Canis lupus familiaris: one gene and its partners. The protein of the gene in region 3 interacts with the protein of the main gene of each other region in a pairwise test. Links are inferred from orthologs where the notes say so. Each region holds a gene or a part of one and is shown on either strand. Other genes may lie near its edges. The genes, in order: PDZD4, TNPO2 and APIP.

What was found.
Region 1: the proteins of APIP (region 3) and PDZD4 interact in a two-hybrid assay, tested with the Homo sapiens proteins (2 studies listed by BioGRID and IntAct). The two-hybrid records come from large-scale screens. The link is inferred for Canis lupus familiaris from reciprocal best matches to the Homo sapiens genes APIP and PDZD4.
Region 2: the proteins of APIP (region 3) and TNPO2 interact in binary tests that used the Homo sapiens proteins (3 or more experiments, as listed by UniProt). The two-hybrid records come from large-scale screens. The link is inferred for Canis lupus familiaris from reciprocal best matches to the Homo sapiens genes APIP and TNPO2.

The regions. Positions count from the first base shown.
Region 1 is NC_049260.1:122,831,015-122,834,761, forward strand, and holds the start of PDZD4 (PDZ domain-containing protein 4), read right to left. Parts: upstream 2,666-3,747; 5' UTR 2,647-2,665; coding exon 2,548-2,646; intron 1-2,547.
Region 2 is NC_049241.1:49,805,464-49,809,183, forward strand, and holds the start of TNPO2 (transportin-2), read left to right. Parts: upstream 1-878; 5' UTR 879-1,037; intron 1,038-1,330; exon of another isoform or gene 1,331-1,378; intron 1,379-2,558; 5' UTR 2,559-2,571; coding exon 2,572-2,670; intron 2,671-3,337; coding exon 3,338-3,413; intron 3,414-3,497; coding exon 3,498-3,647; intron 3,648-3,720. UniProt on the Homo sapiens protein: Probably functions in nuclear protein import as nuclear transport receptor. Serves as receptor for nuclear localization signals (NLS) in cargo substrates.
Region 3 is NC_049239.1:33,416,239-33,419,885, reverse strand, and holds part of APIP (methylthioribulose-1-phosphate dehydratase), read right to left. Parts: intron 3,631-3,647; exon of another isoform or gene 3,132-3,630; intron 1,326-3,131; exon of another isoform or gene 1,172-1,325; intron 485-1,171; coding exon 384-484; intron 1-383. UniProt on the Homo sapiens protein: Catalyzes the dehydration of methylthioribulose-1-phosphate (MTRu-1-P) into 2,3-diketo-5-methylthiopentyl-1-phosphate (DK-MTP-1-P).

The DNA of each region.
Region 1 (3,747 bases), on a different chromosome or scaffold from region 3:
AAACGTGCATTGGGAGGATATGGGGAAAGTGGAACCCTGTGACATTCCAGGTAGGAATGTGAAGTGGCTTAGCCCCTGTGGGAAAGGGTTCGGCAGGTTCTCAAAAAATTAAACAGAATTTACCCTACGATCCAGCAATTCCATTTCAGGCTATATACCCAAAAGAATTAAAAGCAGGGACTCGGGGTGCCTGGCTGGCTCAGTCGGTGAAGTGTACTGCTCTTGATCTCAGGGTTGTGGGGCTGAGCCCCACGTTGGGTATAGAGATTACTTTTAAAAAATCTTTTAAAAAATAAATAAAAGCAGGGACTCAAACAGATATTTGTACACTCATGTTCACAGCATTATTCACAATAGTCAAAAGGTGGAAGCAACCCCCATGTCCACCAACGGGTGAATGGATACTGTGTGGTATAGTCACACAATGGAGTATTATCCAGCAATAAAAAGAAATTTAGGGGGAGCCTGGCTGGCTCAGTTGGAAAAGCATCTGACTCTTGATCTCAGGTTGTGGGTTTGAGCCCCACATTGGGTGTAGAGATTACTTTACAAAAACATTAAAAAAAAAACATGATAAAAGAAAGAAGCCACACATAAAAATCATATATTGTATGGTTCATACAGTTCATTAGATGAAATGTCTGGAACAGGTAAATCCATAGAAAGTAGATGATCGGTTGCCAGGGGCTGGGAGGTGTTGGGAGAAATGGGTACGGGAGTGCTAAAGGCGGGGTTTCTTTTTAAGGTAATGAGAATGTTCTGGAATGAGACAGTGGTGATGGTTGCACAAGTCTCTGAATCTATTAAAAACCACTGACTGCACACTTTACCGGGGTGTGCGAATTTTAGCTCAATAAAGCTGTAGGTTGTTTTGTGCCTGGGAGCCCTGAGGAGAAAAGGGCGTGGAACCCAAGGCTGAGACAGACACCTGGCGGTAACGTGGGGGTTGGAGAACCCAAGAAGAGGCCCCAGGGAGTCCGGGTCCTGGCCCAAGGAAGTCCCCTGGCAAAGTGATGCGGGTGTGCATGTGCATTTCCCTGGGCTGCACTGGACCCCACTGGGGTCCCCTTCTCTCACAGGGTGCAAGGCCGCAGGCACGTAGAGACCGGACAGGAGAAGCACCACTGACGCTAGGGGAGGACCAGTGTTGAGGGGAGGACGGGAGCCAGGCAAGGGGTCCGACTGGTCTTTTGGGACAAAAGCTTCTTTCTGCTCTGAGAAGAGGGTCGGATTGGGCCAGGAAACCCCTCCCTGCTCTGCCTGGGACTCCAGACCCCGGAAACGGGGTCTTCTCAGACTACTAATGGTTTTCCCTGCTTTCCAGCTCCTTTTTATTCACCCTTTCTTTTGTCTCCATTTTATTTTATTTTATTTTATTTTATTTTATTTTATTTTATTTTGGGAGGGACGGAGGTGCAGAGGGAGAGGGAGAGAATCTTAAGCAGGCTCCATGCCCAGGCACCACGCGGGGCTCAATGTCACCACCCTGAGATCAGGATCTGAGCTGAAATCAAGAGCCTGGGCCACCCAGGCGCCCCTCCCCTTCATTTTCACGGATAGTCCCGCTTTTAAAACTACATCCCAGGCTCTGATTCTGCCCAAACTTCAGCAGGAGCTTTAAAAGGGAGCGGTGTCCCCAGACACTGGCCTGTGATGGCTGCGGCTCAGAGCAGGAAACTGCAGAGGGCAGTTGGCATGTGTCCCCAAGAGCCTGGGGCTCTCTCTCAAGAACCTTCCTGCCCGGGGTTCATCTCAAGCCCTCCTCCAACAAGGAGCCTCCCTGAGGGCAGTCCCAGCCCAACTGTGGCAGCCCCCCCAACTCACTGCCAGGGGGAGCCCCGAGGATCGCCCCAGTGTGGCCCCTCAACCAAGGCTCCTTTCAAGCCTGTAGGGCAGCGCGGGGGGCTCTCCACGCCTCCCCACCAGGTCGGCCTTACACGAAATACTACCTCAATCCCTGTCTGAGGAAGTCAAGAGCGCACAGCTCTGGAATCGCTGGCCGTTGGGTGGAAGATTCCAAGAAAGAAAGCGGTGAGGCTGGGATCCCACGGCGGCACCAACCAACCAGTGCAGCCCGGGTGCCCACCACTGGGATTCCCGCGGGCTGCCTTTCGGTCCCTGCCCGGGTCATCACCGAGCCCGTTCCACGAGCGGGCAATGACAATGGCCAGGCAAGATTTCCAGGGAACAGGCCGAGAGGAACAGCCCGGGGGCGCACGGCGAGAATGGAAGAAAGGCGGAGGGCAGCGAGGGGCAGCGAGGGGCAGCGAGCGCCCCCGGGGACAGGGCCTCAGGGGAGCTGGGTGGCGCGGCCAGGGCAGAGCAAGGTTCCCCGTCCTGCCCCCGCCCGCTCCCGGCGGCCACAACGGGGCTCCCGCGGCCTCCCCCATCCCTCCCCAGACACCGATCCCGCCCCCCGCGCCCCCGCGCCCCCTTACAGGAGTTCCCCCCATTCTTCTAAGGAGACCTCATTGCCCCGGCCCACGCCGCGCCCAGCAGCGCCTGCTCCCCGGTCGTGACCCAGAAACCCGGAGTTGAAGTGCATACCTGTCTGCGCCCGGTCCGCCCCTGGGTCCCGACTGCCTCCGACCTTGAACTCCCGCCACTTGGCCCCGGGGGCGTCTCAGGCCACACCATCCGGGACATTTCCCTGGACACCTCTCTGAGCGCACACAGAAAGTACACACACGCGGGGCCGGAGGAGCCTCCGCGCACACACAGACGGGGCACAGGCACGCACTCACGAAGTCACGCCACGCACAGGCAAGGAAGCCCCGCTCCGGGCCACCGGGCTGGGCTTGGGTTCCGCGCGCGCGGCCGGGCGGATCCCCTCCCGCCCGAGCACCCCCCGGCCCACGCCCCTCGCGGCTCCGGACCCGAGGCCCCGCAGGGCGGAGAGCGAGCGGGGCACCGCTGCCCGCAGGCAGCCTCCCCGTCGCGGAGCCCGCGGCACCCGGCCTGGGCGCGCGCCGTTTGGGCAGGGCCGGAGCGGAGCGGCTGCCAGGAGGAGCGCCCCGGCCCCAGCGCCCCCGCGCGCTCCTGCGCCCCTCGCCCGCCCGCGGGGCCCTGGATTCGGCCGCCGCCCGCGCCGCGGGTGCCCAGCTCCCTCCCCCGCCCTGGGTCCAGCGGGGCGAGCGTGTGCAGGGAACGGAGCCCGTTGCTATGCAACCTCCATCCCGCGCCGGCGCCGGCAGCACCGCGCCTCCCCGCTCCCCGGCCGGGGTGCAAGCGCGCCGGCCCCGGGCCGAGCCCAACTTCCCGAACCAGGCCGATCCGGACCCAGGGTTCAGGCCCCCAGTGTACTCCGGGCGCCCGGGGGATGCGCGCGGCACCCCATCCCCACGCAGCCCCCCCGTTTGTGCGCGGTTCCCACGGAGCGCCAACACCCAGCAGCCCCCCGAATTGAGGGCGGGAATGGCTCCCTACCTCTTCCTCTCCGCGCCCTCCAGCCCTCCAGGGTAGGCGACCGGCTGCCTCCCCAGGTGGCGCCCGCGCCCACGCCCCCGCCGCGGCGGTCCCTACCTGAAGCATCACTTTGTACTGCTCCTCCGGTTTCTGAACCACGCACATATTACATCCCATGGTGCTGGCCAGCGAGGGGCGGAGGGCGGCCGCGGGAAGACGCCTTTCAGTGGCCGGAGTGCGGGACCGCGGGTCCCGGGCCGCGGCCGCGGGCCATACCCTAGCGCAGGGGGCGGGCCGCCGAGCGGGGGAGGGGAGGACGCCCCCCAGGGAGGGGCCGCTCCA
Region 2 (3,720 bases), on a different chromosome or scaffold from region 3:
TGGTAATGCTTAACTTGATGATCTCTAACCTAGCAAACTATTTTTATACCCATTTGGCAAGTGGGGAAACTAAGACTCCCAAGTGGTGGGAGGTTGTCCACCTGTTTATCAGCCTGGCCAGGAAGTGGGGAACCGAGGTCTTCAGCTCCTCCCTCCTCCGCTGCTCCACTCTTAAAAGAGGTGCCCTACTTTGTCCTCAGATGGCGCAAGGATTACGGAGATGTCTTTCATCATGACCCTGCCCTTGCCTAGATTTCCTGGGCTGTTTCACCTCACTCAGCTTCAGGTAGGGAAAGAGATTAGGCCTTTCGTTTCAGCGTTTATTCATCTCGTTTAGAATTTTATGTCCTTGTGGGTTTCTCTCATATCCTTGTAAAAAGTATCAAACTGTACTGGAAAATAAAACAAAATGTGGCAGAGGCTTCTGCAGGCACGCAGCCTATCTTAGGCACTCCCTTTGTCTGGCTCGGCCCTTCCTTTGTCTGGGGTCTAAAATCCACGCTAGGCTCAGTCCCCTCCGATCTTTCCTTGAGGACACCTCCTGTACTCTTCCAGGTACCTTCCGGATGCGAGGGAAAAGGCAGAGTTGTATTCGTAGAGAAGGGGGTGAGAGGCACAACTGGCTGTGGCCGAGAGGTCCCCGGGCCTACCACATACCGAAAGTCCCCCCACGCGCCACTAAACTCAGCTCCCAGCAAAGAGCTACTGTCAGGCGGGCGTGAGAGACGCTGAGAAAACGAGACGCCGGGAAGACCAAACGGCCAGAGAGCCCAGGCGAGCCGCCAACACTTCGGTCACGTGACCCGGTCTCGGCGGGGCCTGGGTCTCCCCGGAGCCGGGCCACGTGTTACGGCTGCGCCTTCCGATTGGCTCTGCTGGGCCGATTTGAACGGCGTACGGAAGCCGCCGCGGCTCATCCACGGCCGCGTTTTTTTTTTCTCTCTCTTTTTTTTATTCCCTCTCTTTGGCTCCCTCCTTCCGCGCGAGTCTCAGGAGAAGCCGCAGCGCACGGCGCCGCTGCTGCCACCCGGGGCCCGGTAAGTGGGCCTTTCCCGAAGCCCGACCGGCTCGGCCCGGGCTTGTGTTGACCCCCGCCGGGCTCCGGGTCAGCGCCGCGCGCGGCCCGGCCGTCGGGGCCGCGCCTGACCGGGAAAGGCCGAGAACCTGGTTTGGGCCCCATTCGCGAGGCAACGAGAACGGGCCGGGGCGGGGGAAGGGGAAACCGAGCCGGGCTTAGGGGGTGGGGCCTCGGAGCCAGGCCAGACCCCGGTGCCTCGAGAATCGGGGCAGTGGGGCGGCTGGGATCGGGCCGGAGGGGATCTGGGGGAAGCGTCTGGGGACTCCTTAGGGCCTGATTGGGGAACGTCGCGAGGATCGGGTGTGTGTGTGGGGATATTTCGGCGGGGTTTTGGTTGGGTCTGGTTGGGGGAGGCCGCATTTAAAAGTTGGGGGTCTTCTTGGACCCTGACCGGGAGGGGCGTCAGACTTCGTTCTAGAGGGCTTTGCTGGGTCTGACTTCGAGGTGTCGCTAGGATCCGTTGGGGGGAATGCTCCGTGGGGTGTTCGTCCAGGCCTAACTGGGGGAAGCTGCAGACATCGGACGAAGTGGGTTGCCGGCTCGAGGTGGTGGGGGGCTTGGCCGAACTTGATTGCGGGAAACAGCAGAGATCCGCCAGCAGGAGTTAATGCTGACTGGGGCTGGAGGCAGAAGGTGGGGGGTGGGGGGAGACTTGGCCAGACCTGATTGGGGAAAGGGACGGGGACCTGTCCAGGGGTCAGATTTAGCAGGGTGGGCGGGCTTGGCTGGCTAGCCTTTGGAGAGGCAGCTCGGACCTGTCTGGGGATTGCTTCGGACCGATGAAGAGGAATCTCGGATGGGGTCTGGCTAGGCCAAAAAGGAGGAGCGTCTGGCATCCGGCTCAGTTTGGAGGGATGGATTAGGGGAGGTGGCAGGGATCCGGACGATTGGAGCACCTTGGGACTGTGCACCTGGGAGGCTCGGGGACCAGACGGAGGAGGAGGAGGCAGCTGGGATCTGGCAGGGCTTGAGGGCTGGATTTCGGAAGAGCGGTCTCTGGGGTTGGGAACTGTGCCTGGACCAGGGAGACCACGGGGGCCGGGGCGCTATCGTGGTCTGGGGCAGGGCCCCTGGGTGGAGAGGTGGCTGGCGCCTTGCCTAGCGGGTGTGAGGCTGGCGGAAGTTGTAACGCCTGCAGCCGGGGGAGGCGGCATGGGCCGCCCTGGGATGAAAGCTCCGTGCGGGGCCCAGTGAGGACCCGCCGAGCCCTGCCACTGCCTCCCGTGGCCTTCCATATCCCCCATATCTCCTCACCTGTGTTTCCGAGACTGCGCCGACGTGGATGGCGCAGCTGGCGGGGACCCCGCACTTGGGCTGGTGTGGATCGGCGGCCCCCGCCTGTCAGCCGAGGGCGCTCCCGCCGTGCGGCCGCTGCAGGCACCTCCACCGGGGCTCGCTGCAGGCACCTCCACCGGGGCTCAGCCCGGATCTCACATGGGGCCCTCGGGACCCAGCGCTGACCCTGGCCCCTACCCCGCAGCTCACCCTGCGCCATGGACTGGCAGCCAGATGAGCAGGGCCTGCAGCAGGTCCTGCAGCTGCTCAAAGACTCGCAGTCACCCAACACAGCCACGCAGCGCATCGTGCAGGACGTATCCTTCCTTCCTTCCTTCCGGGCCTAGGGGGAACAGGGCAGACGTCTGCAGAAGGGGCTGACACCCTAATTCCCAGATTCTCTTACGGCAGGAGCTAGCTTTGGCAGAGAATTAGGGATTAGAATTTTTGAGTCCCATTTCCAGAGGAAATGTGGCCCTGTGGGGGAGGGGGGAACACTAGCTGGCACGTGGTTTTTGTTTAGGTTCATGGTTAAAATGTCTCTTTCCCAATTGATGCTTAAAACTCTGTAAGTTAAAGTTGAAGATATTTAAACTATCAGCAAGTTTTACTTAAAAATGTAGATTCTCTTTTCTTTCTTTTTCTTTCTTTCTTTTCTTTCTTTTCTTTTCTTTTCTTTTCTTTTCTTTTCTTTTTAAAAGGGCAACATGGGACTTATGAGCAGGACTGAGTAGCAGTGGTTCTCACTGCTGTGGCCAGGCCTCTCAAGAGTGCATGGAAAGCTCAGGCGTGCTCTCCCACCCACTGGGTGACTTTGATGTGCCTGCAGCGCTGTGTTTCCTGGCATGGGGGTTGACAGGTGGCATCTCAGGAGCTGTCCCCCTGGTCCCGGTGGTCAGAGGGACTTTTAGCTACACGGCAGTGAAGGGACCCACCGGGGGAGGGGAAGGCCCTTGTCTCCCAAGTCCCTTAACAACCCGGCAGAAACTCAAACAACTGAACCAGTTTCCGGACTTCAACAATTACCTGATCTTTGTCCTGACCAGACTCAAGTCGGAAGGTATGCTCCCGGTGCCCCTCTACGCACGGGCTAGATCCCGCTTTCTCCCCTGTGCTCCCCTGACCCTCAGCCCTCCTCCCCCAGATGAGCCAACTCGTTCCCTCAGCGGTCTCATCCTCAAGAACAATGTGAAGGCACATTACCAGAGCTTTCCGCCCCCTGTGGCCGACTTCATCAAACAGGAGTGTCTCAACAACATTGGCGATGCCTCCTCACTCATCCGAGCTACCATAGGTGAGAGCGGGAGTCGGCTGGTGATGACTCCCTGAGTTCTTCCTCTCAGCCAAGGAGCTTTTTGACACATTAA
Region 3 (3,647 bases):
GGTTCATAATCTATATTTAAGTGACTTTAAAATATGTATTTGAACCTTTACAACAAATCCTGTCCACCTAGGGGGGACCTTTTCTAATTCTAGCCATATGAACATACTTGCAGCATATTATTTAACTTTGGTACTCCAAAGACTGAGGACTAAATTATTCTGATTAGAAACTGTGGTTCTTAAATCCTTAGGTATTTATTGTATCTACAACTTCTGCACACTTATTTAGTAATGCAAATATTCATTACTCCATTTAGAAACTAAGTATTTTTAGTATCACATAAAACTGGGCACCAGTTGTTCTTTGGATAGAACTCGTATTAGGCTCTTCATGTGCTACTTATTTGGACAATTCCCAGAAGTGAAATTAGCCCCAAACTTACCCATGTTTCAAGCTAATTCCTCCTCCAGTCCCAGTGACCCAACCCAAATGGTAAAACTGTTTGCAAAGCTCTGGGATCAGGTATCTTGGATGTTCTTTGTCCTTAAAAAGAAGATAATGATTTTTCCAAGAGACATTATGTTATCGAGTGAATTTTCTAGCTGACGTCTCTGTTAAGAAGTTGATGTGTAAGGGGTAGCTGGGTGGCTCAGTTGGTTAATCATCTGCCTTTGGCTCAGTCATGATCCCAAGGTCCTGGGATTGATCTCTGCCTTAGGGGGCTCACTGCTCAGCGGGGAGTGCGCTTGTCCTTCTCCCTCTTCCCCAAACCCCACTCATGCGCGTATCCAGGCCCATCTGTGCTCTCTCAAATAGATGAATAAAATCCTTTAAAAAAAAAAAAAAAGCTAATGTAAGGAATTTTAAGGAAATCTACCATAGAGAAGGTACCATGAGGGAGAAAACTATTATAAAACATACTTTGTTTTTAATGTTTAGAAAGTGGATCTACTATGTTGCAACCTGGAATTATTAAGAATAAGGCCATTTAGTCCAGCATGAAGAGACAGGTTGCAAGAACAAGGTGGAGAAATGCCCAGTTTACATAAATGTCTACTACAATGGCTGAAATAAAACAGAATCTAGGGCTGAGAGGAACATGCTTCAGTCTGTCCAGTGAATTTCTTAACACAAAACATTCAATTAAGTCATGATATACATATGAGAGCTATGTGTTCATATTCATTGTTAGTTCAGTTTTATTTTTATTCTAAAATCTTTTTTCCACAGTGATTGCATTGTTTTCTCTTATTACAAAAGCAATGTATACTCACTATGGAATATAAAGTCAAGAAAATAAGATGGAAAGGACTCACTCAGAAGCAATCATAATGAGTATTTTCTGGGCCCATTTCAATGAAGATATGTGTACACAGGAACAAATGTATGTATGTTGGGATAAATTCTGAGTTTTAATTACATATTTTTATTGAGGTAGAATTGACATATAGCATTACATTAGTGGATAATATAAAGAATAGGTATTTATATATATTGTGAAATGATCAGCACAGTAAGTCTAGTTAAAATAAGAGCTTATTTTTATTAAGGCTAATGATTATTTCTTTAGGAAAAAAACTCAATGTTTCCCCCATTTTTAAAAATCAAAATTAATGAAAGCAAAAAACAATATTTTTATTTTTAGCAATATGACATATGACTCTTAACTTGAAAATAACAAAAATGCTGAATAGTTTTTAAAAACATTTCAAATTAAATTGCTGAGCTGGCAAGAAGTACGGTTTCACAGGGGCCATAAAAGAAACCAGGGTGAGAGTCTACCTGGGAGGGAAGCTCTGAAGTCATAATTCCCCTGAAGGTATTTGCAGAACTCCGGTGAGCTTAAGCTTCAATTCTGATAGCTATGCAAGCTGCTAGAAACATGAGATTAAACCTAGGATGTGCTCAGAATGGAATATCTAATAGAAAATCCCTCCATAGGTTTGAGACAAGACAAGGGGCTACACACTCCAGGTAAGGGTGAACAAGAAACAGACCCTTTGTGCACAAAAGCACAGCAAGGAATCTTGCCTAGCTAAATGCTGGTACTGAGTAAAGGGGAAAAACATTTTTGAGTCCGAACAGGGATGATTATCGAACAGACCAAATTTTCAGCTACTTAACTGGCTTTCTGAAATTATGGTGTTTTTCCAAATTCACTGTTAATACTTTACATATGCATTGCATTTTGTTATAAATGATAATTTGATGGAGTGGACTTCAAAATATAAAATTAAGGACATGGGAATGTTAAAAATTTTTAAAGTTCTTTTTTTTTTAAAGATTTTATTTATTCATGAGAGACACAGAGAGAGAGGCAGAGACACAGGCAGAGGGAGAAGCAGGCTCCCTGTGGTGAGCCTGATGCGGGGACTCAATCCCAGGACCCCAGGATCAGGACCTGAGCTAAGGCAGGCGCTCAACCACTGAGCCACCCAGGCATCCCCAAAATTTTTAAAGTTCTGATTCAACACAGGCTTAGGAGTTAATGGACATAAAGTCAAACCTACATTACACCATTTATTGCTTATATAGGACTTTGGATTTCAGTTTACTAATCCATAAAATGAAAACATTGTAAGAGGTAAAATGAGATATAGTGCTACAGGCTTCCAGGTATGGGATGAGTCATTTTTTTTTTTTTAAAGAGAAAATAATGAAGATAAAGCATCCAGGATAACATGTGACAGTCAACGTTAGTTTCCCTCCCATTTTTTTTTCAGTATTATATTAGTTCAGGTGTACAATATACTGTATTTGACAATTCTATATATTACTCAATGCTCACCACCATCTGTTACCATATAATGTTATTAATACTATTGACTATATTCCCTATGTTGTACTTTTCATCCCTGTGACTCATTTATTTTATGACTGGAAGTTTTACCTTCCTTCCCATTCTGAAGTGTTAAAAATTCTTGAATTAAAAAAAAAATAATTCTGTATTGGCTTTCCTTATATCTGTCCTTACAAAATCTAGCCAGAATTATCCATGCCCTGTATAATTTACTATTTCCTTTTTTAGTGATACAAATGCTATTTTAATTATATATTAAAGTACAGCTAATGAGAAGACTCCTGCAGTCTTCCAACTGTTAAAACCGTCAATTTGCATAGCAAGTTGCAAACATTATAGAAAATGGTCTGTTATTATGGGTCTCTCCCCTTTTCCTTTTGTCTTTTCCAGTACTGAGTTATTACAGCAATTAGCCGGCTTCATGCTACAGGAATAACAATGATAAGGCAGCTGTTAATAAAGCTTCATTCAACTGTTCAAACCCACAAAATTATAATTTCCAGGAAAATAATCACTGAGCAGTGAGAACTAACAGATATATTGGGTAAAATGCAGTCATCTAAATTGTTCAGAACGGTAAGAGAGTAAATATCAGAATACTTATTTCAATAAGAATAGACAAAAAGGAAAAAGGGAGAAACATTTAACAGTATTTTGTATACATTAAAAACATTAAAGCCTAAAAAGTTGTTGAGTCAATACTTTATTTTTCTAATCTTTCAACCTAATTATTTTAAGGAAGTCAACTCCACTGTCACTGAGATACCTGCTCACAGCTAACAATGACTCTAATCCCTTCCACCATCTTTTCTTTCAATTTAAGCATAACAGAGACATGTATTGCTTGGACAGAGGTTTTCCTGGGAGGCTCTCACACAAATACAAAATAAACGAATCACAGATATT